Linked DNA regions of Macaca fascicularis. The main gene of each other region encodes a partner of the protein of the gene in region 3 in a complex. Links are inferred from orthologs where the notes say so. Each region holds a gene or a part of one and is shown on either strand. Other genes may lie near its edges.

What was found.
Region 1: the proteins of PLXNB1 (region 3) and SEMA4D are in contact, whole or in part, in a crystal structure (PDB 3OL2), measured with the Homo sapiens proteins. The link is inferred for Macaca fascicularis from reciprocal best matches to the Homo sapiens genes PLXNB1 and SEMA4D. Residues at the interface, in NP_001123554.1 of Homo sapiens: Leu80, Pro81, Pro82, Glu87, Arg136, Pro137, Gly138, Asp139, Thr140, Tyr142, Gly178, Glu202, Lys205, Ala207, Gly209, Arg210, Ser212, Glu213, Arg235, Arg242, Asp359, Val360, Asn361, Ser362, Leu367, Pro368, Thr371, Tyr375, Ser379, Asp380; in NP_001358123.1 of Homo sapiens: Glu99, Lys100, Gly101, Phe158, Tyr179, Phe181, Leu182, Gly183, Ser184, Arg198, Tyr201, Ile203, Glu208, Val240, Leu264, Arg265, Thr266, Leu267, Gln268, Lys270, Thr347, Gln350, Ser351, His352, Thr353, Asp388, Gln392, Lys395.
Region 2: the proteins of PLXNB1 (region 3) and ARHGEF12 are in contact, whole or in part, in an NMR structure (PDB 2OS6), measured with the Homo sapiens proteins. The link is inferred for Macaca fascicularis from reciprocal best matches to the Homo sapiens genes PLXNB1 and ARHGEF12. Residues at the interface, in NP_001123554.1 of Homo sapiens: Glu2129, Lys2131, Val2132, Thr2133, Asp2134, Leu2135; in NP_056128.1 of Homo sapiens: Phe82, Gly83, Leu84, Thr85, Val86, Ser87, Gly88, Asp89, His127, Val131, Lys135.

Annotation. Positions count from the first base shown.
Region 1 is NC_088389.1:119,732,702-119,736,351, forward strand, and holds part of SEMA4D (semaphorin-4D), read right to left. Parts: intron 2,840-3,650; coding exon 2,667-2,839; intron 2,594-2,666; coding exon 2,550-2,593; intron 1,124-2,549; exon of another isoform or gene 1-1,123. UniProt on the Homo sapiens protein: Cell surface receptor for PLXNB1 and PLXNB2 that plays an important role in cell-cell signaling. Regulates GABAergic synapse development. Promotes the development of inhibitory synapses in a PLXNB1-dependent manner.
Region 2 is NC_088388.1:119,342,622-119,346,271, reverse strand, and holds part of ARHGEF12 (rho guanine nucleotide exchange factor 12), read right to left. Parts: intron 2,695-3,650; coding exon 2,619-2,694; intron 1,910-2,618; coding exon 1,742-1,909; intron 598-1,741; coding exon 510-597; intron 27-509; coding exon 1-26. UniProt on the Homo sapiens protein: May play a role in the regulation of RhoA GTPase by guanine nucleotide-binding alpha-12 (GNA12) and alpha-13 (GNA13). Acts as guanine nucleotide exchange factor (GEF) for RhoA GTPase and may act as GTPase-activating protein (GAP) for GNA12 and GNA13.
Region 3 is NC_088376.1:111,368,788-111,371,436, reverse strand, and holds part of PLXNB1 (plexin-B1), read left to right. Parts: intron 1-913; coding exon 914-988; intron 989-2,119; coding exon 2,120-2,224; 3' UTR 2,225-2,649. UniProt on the Homo sapiens protein: Receptor for SEMA4D. Plays a role in GABAergic synapse development. Mediates SEMA4A- and SEMA4D-dependent inhibitory synapse development. Plays a role in RHOA activation and subsequent changes of the actin cytoskeleton.

The DNA.
Region 1 (3,650 bases), on a different chromosome or scaffold from region 3:
TTTCCAAAAGGACAAAGAGAAACCAAGTCACAGGCTCAACCCAAGAGAAAATAGACAAGAGGACTGAGGTTGTCTGCACGATGCGGGCTAACCTACGCAGCACTGCACGAGACTCGGATACTGAACAGGAGAAACACAAAACACTCCAGGCCTGGACACGTCGCAGCTGGGGCGCCGGCGGGGACGCACAGCCGGCCTCAGTCTCCATCTGCATCTGAGTCCGCGAACTTCAGCTCACACTTGACGTCGAAGGGCTTGTCCCTGGCGGAAAGGTCGTCGATCCTCTGTGAGTCCTCCCTGTCCGTGGGGACTTTGCTGGTGATGGTGTCTTGCTCAGTCTCATAGCCAGTGTCCAGGGCTGGCTTGGGGTGCTCCCCATTCTGCTGGGAGAAGCTTCCTGGCTCCACTAACGTCTCCTTCAGGCTCTGCTCACGGTCACAAAAATCTGACTTGGGCTTCTTCTTCCCGATCAGCAGGGCCGAGCGGAATTTCAAGCACTGTCTGGGCAGGTATCCCTTATAGCAGTTGTAGAAAAAGAGGCAGAGGAAGAGAACAAAGAAGAAGAGGAAGAGGGACATGAGGAGGCGGTTATCGCTGGACTTAAGATACATGGTTTTCTCCGAGTGGAGCTGGGGGACCGTGTTGATGACAATCTTTGGTTCACAGGATGTGCTGGTGGGCACAGGCTTGGGAGGAAGGGTGATGGCCCCGGAGGAGGTGGCCTGCACGGCTGGGGTCGGGGGAGAAGACCCTTGGGTGGATGCCACCAACACTTTGGTGGCAATCCTACTACCTTCTGTCTGAACAACTGACAAGGTGGGGGCCACCACGGGCTTTGGAACCACCTTCACTTCCAGGACGTGCTTGGCGACTACTTGGAAGACCGTCTTGTTCTTAACCCTCTCCTCTGACAGGCACTGGTACACCCCACTGTCTCCTTCTGATAAGTTGAAGATGAGCAAGTTTTTTCTGCCCATAAGACCGTACTTGGGGCTCTCAGCCTTCAACACGCCATTCTGGAACTTCCAAAACACCCGGGCCAGGTTGGACTTTTGGGAGCATTTCAGTTCCGCTGTGCCACCGTGCTTGAAAAAATGCTGCCGGTAACTTCCTTTACTTTTATCTGGAACATCAAAATAAACGTGCACAGCGTCAACAATCCCCATTTGCTATTTAACAATTTCTTTAAAATACCCACAAGATGATGCAAGAGTTTCACCCACTGGAGCAACATGGAATCTTCCAGAACAACTAAGGAGATAAAGACATGCGTGACCAAAAAGCAAAGATGAGCCCTGGATGACAGCCGATAGGGACAAAGAAATCAGAGGCAGCTCTGAGCAGCAGAAATCGCATTTCTCACCCGTGTCCCAGAAGAAAACGCGCCAGGCCGGGGAGGCTGAGCAGAGGCCAGTTGTGCGCCTAGTGTCACTCTCTGAATCAGACACGAGATGCTTCTGCTAGTGGCTACAAGGAAGGCTGACCTTTCGGTGTATCTCAGCACTCTCCTCCTGCCTAAACTTTTTTTTTTTTTTTTTTTTTCTTGAAACAGGGTCTGGTTCTGTTGCCCAGGCTGGAGTGCAGTGGTGCAATCACAGCTCACTGCAGCCTCAACCTCCCCAGTTCAAGGGATCTTCCCACCTCAGTCTCCAGAGTAGCTGGGACTACAGGTGTCTACCTCCAGGTCTGGCTAATTTTTGTATTTTTTGTAGAGACAGGGTCTCACCACATTGCCCAGGGTGGTCCTGAACTCATGAGCTCAAGTGATCCTCCTGCTTCAGACTCCCAAAATGCTGGATTCCAGGCGTGAGCCACTGTGCCCGGCCAGCTTTTCTTTTCTTTTTAGAGTCTGGGTCTCACTTAGTCACCCAGGCTGGAGTGCAGTGGCATGATAAGCTCACCGCAGCCTTGAACCCCTGGGCTCAAGCAATCCTCCTGCCTCAGCCTCCCTAGTAGCTGGGACTACAGGCGTGTACCGCCATGCCCAGCTGTCTAAACTTTTCTTAGTCTGATGACAGCTGTCTTGTCAGGGACAGGAGGACACAGAACCGAGGGTCAAGTCTGCCTTTAGCACCCTGGAAGGTGGCTGCTGGGGAAGGGGCGTCCTGGCCTGATGCCACCCCTCCCTCTGGGCGAGGCGCTATTTCAGACATCCACAGGCGGGTGAATCTCAGGTGGGAGCCCCAGGGGAAACACCACCCCAGCCCTTCCACTGCCTGAGGATTAATCACTCACAGGCTCCTTTCTCCCCATTTGTAACAGACTTAGGTTTTGTTTAATGAGCCCCAAGCTAAGCAGAAAGAAAACAGGACCGTTTTGGAAGGAGACTGCTCCCCAGTAAACAGACACACTCTAAGTGGCTTCAAATACTCTTTTGGCAAGAAAAAAAGACAGAGAAGACCACGAGTCTGCTACAGGACACTTAACCTCTGTTCCAAGTGGAGAAAGAAAAACAAAACACACACAAATGCCACAGAACTGAAGCACCATGAAATGGTTACAAGACCTCGCCACTCCCACAGGAACCAGGACGTCGAGGAGTCACTCACCCGGGCACACAGAAGCATCGCCGCTCATCTCCTGAATCAAACCCCTGCAAAACAACCGGCAGTGTTACTCACCCGCACACACGGGGACATCCCCCGGCGGCGCGTCCCACCCCGTACCTGCTGGGGCTCTCAGTCTGGTACAGAGCCACACACGTCGCTGTGGGTGGGCTCCAGGCGCAGTAGGGGTCCCGAGCCAGCACACAGTCCTCGCAGGTGCCGTGCTTCCCACAGAAGGCCAGAGGGGCCTGGACCACGCCCGAGTTAGAGCCAGCATAGACGAACCTCCTGCCCTGCGTGTGTGAGACACAGGAGAACTAGCATCAGGCAAGCAGGCACCAGTGTGTGGGAAGCAGCCAGAGTGCACCATCAGGGCACGCTGCAGTAAGGAGGACAGGTACTCAGAACCAGAGGCGAACAAGGCAGGCCTGCGACCTTCCGGCAGAATACACGCGCTACATCAGGGCTCACTGGGCCTTAGATCCAAATCCCTCTCTCCCCTGTCTGGGCACCCACTGCCCGGGTCCTGCCCTCCAGCAGAGCGCTTCTCTGCATGTGTTTCTCTTAGCCAGTGGAGAGGCTGTTCAGTCCCCACCTCCAGACCGCCTCCACGTAGAGGGGGATGCATGAGCCTGGCACTCCTGGTCATCTTCCCGGCCTCACTACAGGGGAGAAGGGGCTGCAGCCAGAGGCTGAAGCACACCACCTCGAAGCCCAACCTTATCCCTCGAGCCAGAATGTGAGCACCTATGGGCGGGGAGCCTCTTGTGAGGCTCTGGATCCAGCAGGGACCTAACATAACGGGGATGCCAAATGGACGACATGCAAAGGATGAGCAGATCGCGATACATAACATAAAAGAAGGAACAATGCCTTTGCTCTTCACGTGTCTATAAGTAAAAGGGAAGAGCTCCAGAGCAGCCACACCCACAGCAGAGGGCAGGTGAGACTCTCCACCTTCTGGGACACTTGGCTCCCAGGGACACCAGCTTCAGGCCAATCCCATCAGCCCACCTGGCACCAGCAGTGCCCAGCACACAGGCATCCAAGGCTGCTGACTGCTTTTGAATGGAACTCAGCTGGAAGGAGGGTGCCCCACACTGC
Region 2 (3,650 bases), on a different chromosome or scaffold from region 3:
CCATCCGACAGATTAGGTCCTGCCAGCTTCAGAAAGTTGGAAAGAAATCCAAAATACAAAAAAGAAACAACAAAAGAAATATCCTTTAAATATACTCACAAAACAAAAAGAAAAACAGAACTAAACAAAAACCAATCAACCAACCAACCAAAAAAAAAAAAAAACACTTCACTCTGCCAGAGAATATCTTTATTTTGGCAACACACTATTAAGGTGAGAGTCCAAAACTATACCTTAAGAAAAATCTAACGTTATGGAGACATTACCCATTAAAAAAACTTCAGCTGACATTTTCCATATTTTTTTCTTTAGGAAATAAACTTCCAGAATAGAATCAAAATAAAAGGCATCAATCTAAAAAAGAACAATTTCATAGTAGAATGTCTCTAAAAGAGTAGAAGAAGTGCTTGGTTTCCATACATTATAAAAACAAAGTTAAGTTTATGGAGTATTATGCTTGGGATAATGAAAATAGTAGCTATAGCAAGGTAGCCATATCTAATACATACACAGTCTTTTCAGAAACTGTCTGTGCCACCAGTTCATAAATCTGAGCTCCATTGTCTGACATGGAGATGACGAATAAAGCTTTGTTATCTGGAAAAAACAAGACAAGATTACTCTAACACTCTGATCTTGGGAGACCATGAGGGATGTTTTTAGAGTCTTGAAATAGTCCTCTCCTTAAACTAGATAAAGGTTACATATATTTACTTTAAAATTCATCAAGATGTACAGTTAAAATTTGTGCAACTTACCATATTAACCTAATTACTGTATTATATTTATTGTACTTCAATAAAACAAAGATTATACAAATTAGCACTAATTCCACAATAATTCACTAGAAACAAAAGGATGTCAAAAATCCAAATTACTGGCTGGGCATGGTGGCTCATGCCTGTAATCCCAGCACTTTAGAAGGCTGAGGCAGGTGGACTTCGTTGAGCTCAGGAGTTCAAGACCAGCCTGGGCAGCATGGCGAAACGCTGCCTCTACAAAAAACAAAAAAATTAGCCAGGCCATGGTGGTACATGCCTGTAGTCCCAGCTACTCAGGAGGCTGAGGTTGAAGAATTGCTTGAGCACGGGATGCAGAGGTTGCAGTGTGCCAAGGATGCACCACTGAACTCCAGCCTGGGTGACAGGGTGAGACCCTCGTCTCAAAAGAAAAAAAAAAAAAAAATCCAAATTACCAAATTAAATGCTATTACTCTTTTGCATTTATTTTGAACTGCCCTTTTGCTAAGTTGTTAATAATATTCAGTGAATAGTGGAGAAAAGAGATCACAAATTTATTTTGCCACCATGAAACTAACAAGTTTTAAAAGGGACCCCTTTGTTAATAGAGTTAAAATACAACTTGCCAGTCAAATTTGATTTTTAATCAAAATTCCATCCATCTCTTCAGTTTTTATTTTTTTTCTTACCAAATCAAAAAACATACCACCCTAAATGAAAGGCTTTTCACTGGGATCTATCAATGATTTGAACATAAAGAACCAAAGTAACAGCATAAAAATTTTCAAATACAGAAAACCATTCACAGAATCTAGACACCCTAAATAACTTTGGGGTATAAACTCTTAAGTCTCTTTCTAAGCAGTAAATTTCACGTAATTTGCTTAATAATATAAAAATAGCAAGACTCTATGCCACTTGTGTTACTTAAACAGCAATGAGTATCTTATGCAACTTCACAATGAACCTGGAAATTAGTATCCTTCAGTGGACATACTTGCCTGTTGCCACTTGTCGAACCAACACTGTACTCAACTTAATGACAGGGCTAAACGTATGTTTGCTATCAGCTGTAGATGCCAGAATCTTACTATGACACCTTAACACCAGTCTATCATCCTGCTTTTGTAACAATACAAGAATGTCTTCTAGCAGCAATGTGTATAAATCTAGAAATAAAAGTACAGAAAAAAATGGTAAGTACAGAAATTGGGACGTCTTTGGTTAACTTTATAATGATTCAACAGAGGAATTTTATTTCTGTTAAAGCTACAAAATTTTCAAAATTGACTTGTATATTATCTTTTAAAATTTCATTTTCAATAATTCATTTTTATTGTATTTCACTAAAGTGTCAATCTGTGACCAACAGGAAATAAAAAACAACAAGCTGGGTGTGGTGGTGTGCGCCTATAATCCTGGCTACTAGGGAGGCTAAGGCAGGAGGATCACTTAAGCCCAGGAGTTCGAGGCAGCAGTGCACCATGACTGCATCTGTGAATAGCCACTACACGTCAGCCTGGGCAACATAGTAAGACCTTGTTTCTTGGAAAAAAAAAAAAAAAAAAACAGTTCCTCATCACAGACAGTTTAACAAGTACTGGTCTAAAGAAAGCTTACAAAGCATACTAAGACTTACTAGAATATAAGAATGATGGAAATAGGACTAAATCAGATCTCTGTTACATTCCTAAATGAATATTTAACACGTTACATATAATGAAATAACACAAGCAGATCTACAAATGTACAAATAACACGAGGTAGCACTGCTAACTGCTGAGAGAATGGTTCTCTCCTCTTCCTTTTGTCATAGGAAACTCCTATTTCTTCCCTTTTGCCACTCTCCCCAAAACTAACAGACAATATCAGACCTACCAATAGTTTTATCTCTATTCACCTTCCAAACCAATGGTCCTTCATGAATCATCTTCCTTTTTGTTAAATCCAAATTCTGGCAAAATAAAGAAAATCATGCACAAATAATTTCCAAGCACTCAGTAACATGATATTCTATATAATACAGTCTCTTTTTAAGAAATTCTTAATATAAAATACGCCATTTACATCAACTATCATTACTGCTATTTGTCAGTTCTTGAAAATGGCACAAAGGCCATGTTAAAGTAATCTGCATACGATTTTCTAAAAAGGAAAAGGTATCTTGCAGAAAAACATTCAGGAGTACTATCTTCCAAACCTCATTCTAAACAGATAGTAACAGATTATGAAAATCAAGTTACAAACATTCAGCCACTAGAGTCTCAACATATCCTTTAATTTTTCTATGAATAATTGGATGAGCATGGTACATATGCTTGTCTATAAGAAAGTGGCTTCTGAGTTCCAAGGCTCTAATTTCAAAGAAAGTTCTAAGAAATAGTACTCATGAAAAGTCCAGGTACTACTTAGGCTTGGTCTAAATATTAACAACTTATTAGTAAGAGAATCATCTTTTAGTATTAGCAGCTCTAGAAAACTCTCATTCTTTGGAAGTTAAGGGGAATAAGCACATTTACAAGCTTGTTGACAAAGTATTAATATATGACATAAAAGTCTATTTTAACGGCCACCAAATAAATCTGCCAAAACCACCACCTAGTGAAATGGTACAGAAAGACTTAAAATCCGAAAAAGTTAACACATAAGCCCACATACTAGAAGTGGCAATTAGTAAACATTCTACTATTGTTCCTATAATGGTTCCAACTTTTATGCTTTTGAAGACCCTCATGAGAAAATAATACATTATCTTGTGTTATTAAATGACCTGGAAAGTTACCATAGTAAACAGTCCTACCCTTATTTAAACTACAGAACACCGGCTGGACATGGTGGCTCATGCCTGTAATCCCCGCACTGTGGGAGGCTGAGAAAGGAGTGCTTGAGCCCGGGAGTTCTGGACCAGCC
Region 3 (2,649 bases):
TGGGGCAGGAAACATAAGTACAGAATGTTCCAACTGCCACTGAAAGACCAGAGTTCCCACCATCTCATCACAGAACAAGCAGGGGTCTTGTCCTGGCAGCTGCCATATACCCTGATTCAGCCAGGCACTTGTAAGGTAGCTGGGATTCAGCCTCAGGCCTGCCTGGGTCTGCCTGTGTGCGTCTTCCCACTGCTGTGCCTCCCTTGGTGGCACAGGTGTCCCCTCCACTTCCCCCATTCCTAAAACAGCCCTAAAATGTAACTCCAGGGAGTTACGAACAATGTTTCTGAAATGTTGATGGTGATGACAGCCACAACCACAACACTAATAGCAGCTGTAATTTTGGGGTGTTGTGTGTGAAGCCCTTCATAGGGTGCTTTGATTGTCTTACTTGATCCTCACAAGAACTCCACAAGTTAAGTGACACTGACTCCATCATCCAGGTGAGGAAGTTGAGGCTCAGAGATGTCCCCATGGAGGGGCCTGAGAGTGACCTCAGGAAATACTTGAGTTAGGCCAGAGCAGAATCATGCTGGGCTGTCAGCCTGCAAGTGACATCAGTGCCACTTGGCTCTGGAGTCACCTGGGTGGCAGAGGGTCTGGGCTAGAACCTTAAGGGATTGAGAGAGGCAGGGCTCCAGTGGAAACCCCAGACCTTGCTGAAGCAGTTAGACCTGAGCTGTCTTCCTACCACGGAGACCCTCTTGGCGCTGCCCTGTTCTGTCACCATCTGGCACGCCTGGCCTGGGGTCCCTGGGCCATGGAGGGGACTCTGCTTCCCACTGTAGTGCCCATCCCATTCCCTACCTCTCAGGTCCCCTTCTCCCCCAACCCTTCCCTGGGGTCCTGGGCCACCTCCTGTGGCTGTCTGTACCCCTCATCTCTCTCACCTTTCATTTGGCCTCTTTCCTAGAACTACTCTGGAGACCTCGGGGCGCGAGTGGCCCTGCATGAACTCTACAAGTACATCAACAAGTACTATGACCAGGTGGGCAGGCCCTGGGCCCCAACTGGGAGGCTGACCCAAGGCATCCCAGGAGACTTAAGGGGCTCTGACCCTGTGACTCATGGTGGGGGCTTTGGTCTTCCCCAGGAACAGCATAGTGGGGGACCGGGCCCCTGGGCGGCTTGGGAAGTGTTCTCCAGGCGGGTTTCCTGGCATTGACTGTACTCTCACTTGTCCCACCACTCCCCATTCCGGCTCCCCAGCAGGATGGCGAGGCACAGTGCTGGTGGTTGTGGGGGCCAAGGGGTCTACCAGGGCCTGGAGGTGGTATGCATTTGCTGAGTTGGCAGCATGTTGGGCATGGCCAACATGCAGGTGCAGGCCTGGCTTGGCTGCATGAGCTGAGAAGAGGAGAGTCCAGGCACACGGGCTGGGGTGTGAGGGTACACTGGAGCTGGTGAATCTTTTTGGACGATCCCTGGGCTGGGCCTGAAGAGCTGAGCACCTGCCAGTCAACCTGCTGGGTGCCTGATGGAATAGTCCACTTAGATGTTTGTGTGGCACCAGTGAAGTGATTGTTGCTGCTCAGAGATGAGGAACCTGCCTCATGGCCCACAGTCTTCCTGGGCATGGTATGGGCCATGGCATGGGGCATGGGGGAGGCAGAGTGTAATGCAGGCATGACCCCTCGTGGAGACATAGTGGGCAGTGGCTGTTTTCCAAAGTGCTGCTGCCCTCCGGTTCCTACTGGCTCCCTTGGTGGCAGCCCCCAATTTGTGGTTGGTGTTTGATCAGTGTCTGTTTTCTCAGCACATGTGTCTGGTCATTCTTGGGTCTCTGCCCCTTGTCTGGCACCAGGCAGATAGGAACTTGGGAAATGCTGTTGCCGGGCGGGTGGGTGAGCCAGGATGGCTGCATCAGGGCTTCTGAGGGGCTCGGTACTGAGTCAGGTCCTTCATTTCCTACCTTATTCGTCCAGAAACGGTGGCTTTGATGTTATTACCCCTCCTGCTGGCGAGGCCCTGAGGTCACAGAAAGTACGTGAAGTGACTGGCTGGGTTTCTTGGCCTCCTATCCCACTTGTGCCACAGCGTCTTAGGAGGGCTGTTGAATTTTGCAGCAAACACGTTGGCCAAAGAAGTCTCCCCCTGATGGCATTGGTCTCTGTTTCAGATCATCACTGCCCTGGAGGAGGATGGCACGGCCCAGAAAATGCAGCTGGGCTATCGGCTCCAGCAGATTGCAGCTGCTGTGGAAAACAAGGTCACAGATCTATAGGGACCCAGGAGCCACGGCCTGCTATTGCTTCAGCCCGGCCTGGGCAGCCCTGGAACCTCGGGGGGAGAGGCCACCTTCTTAGGTGCCTGTAGTGACTGACAAGCAGTTAGTGGAAGGTGACTCACAGTCTCCTGGTGGCTCTGGCCTTGGCCCTGCTGGACCCACCTCCTAGGCCAGGGGCCTCAAGGCTCATGGGGTAGGACCTAGCCTGCTTCCCGAGTCCAGGGACCCTATGACACCGGTCTGCAGGGAGTTGGGGACTGAGGGCTTCCAGAGAGTGGCCGGAAGAGCCTCCAGGCCCCTGGGGAGACTGTGCTGTTCCTGAACACTGGCCTTGGCTGCACTGGGATTCGGAGAGGAAGGAGGAGAGCCCCATACTTCCTGTCTGCCTCCTCCACCATTCCTGACCTCAGTTGAGCTGCCTC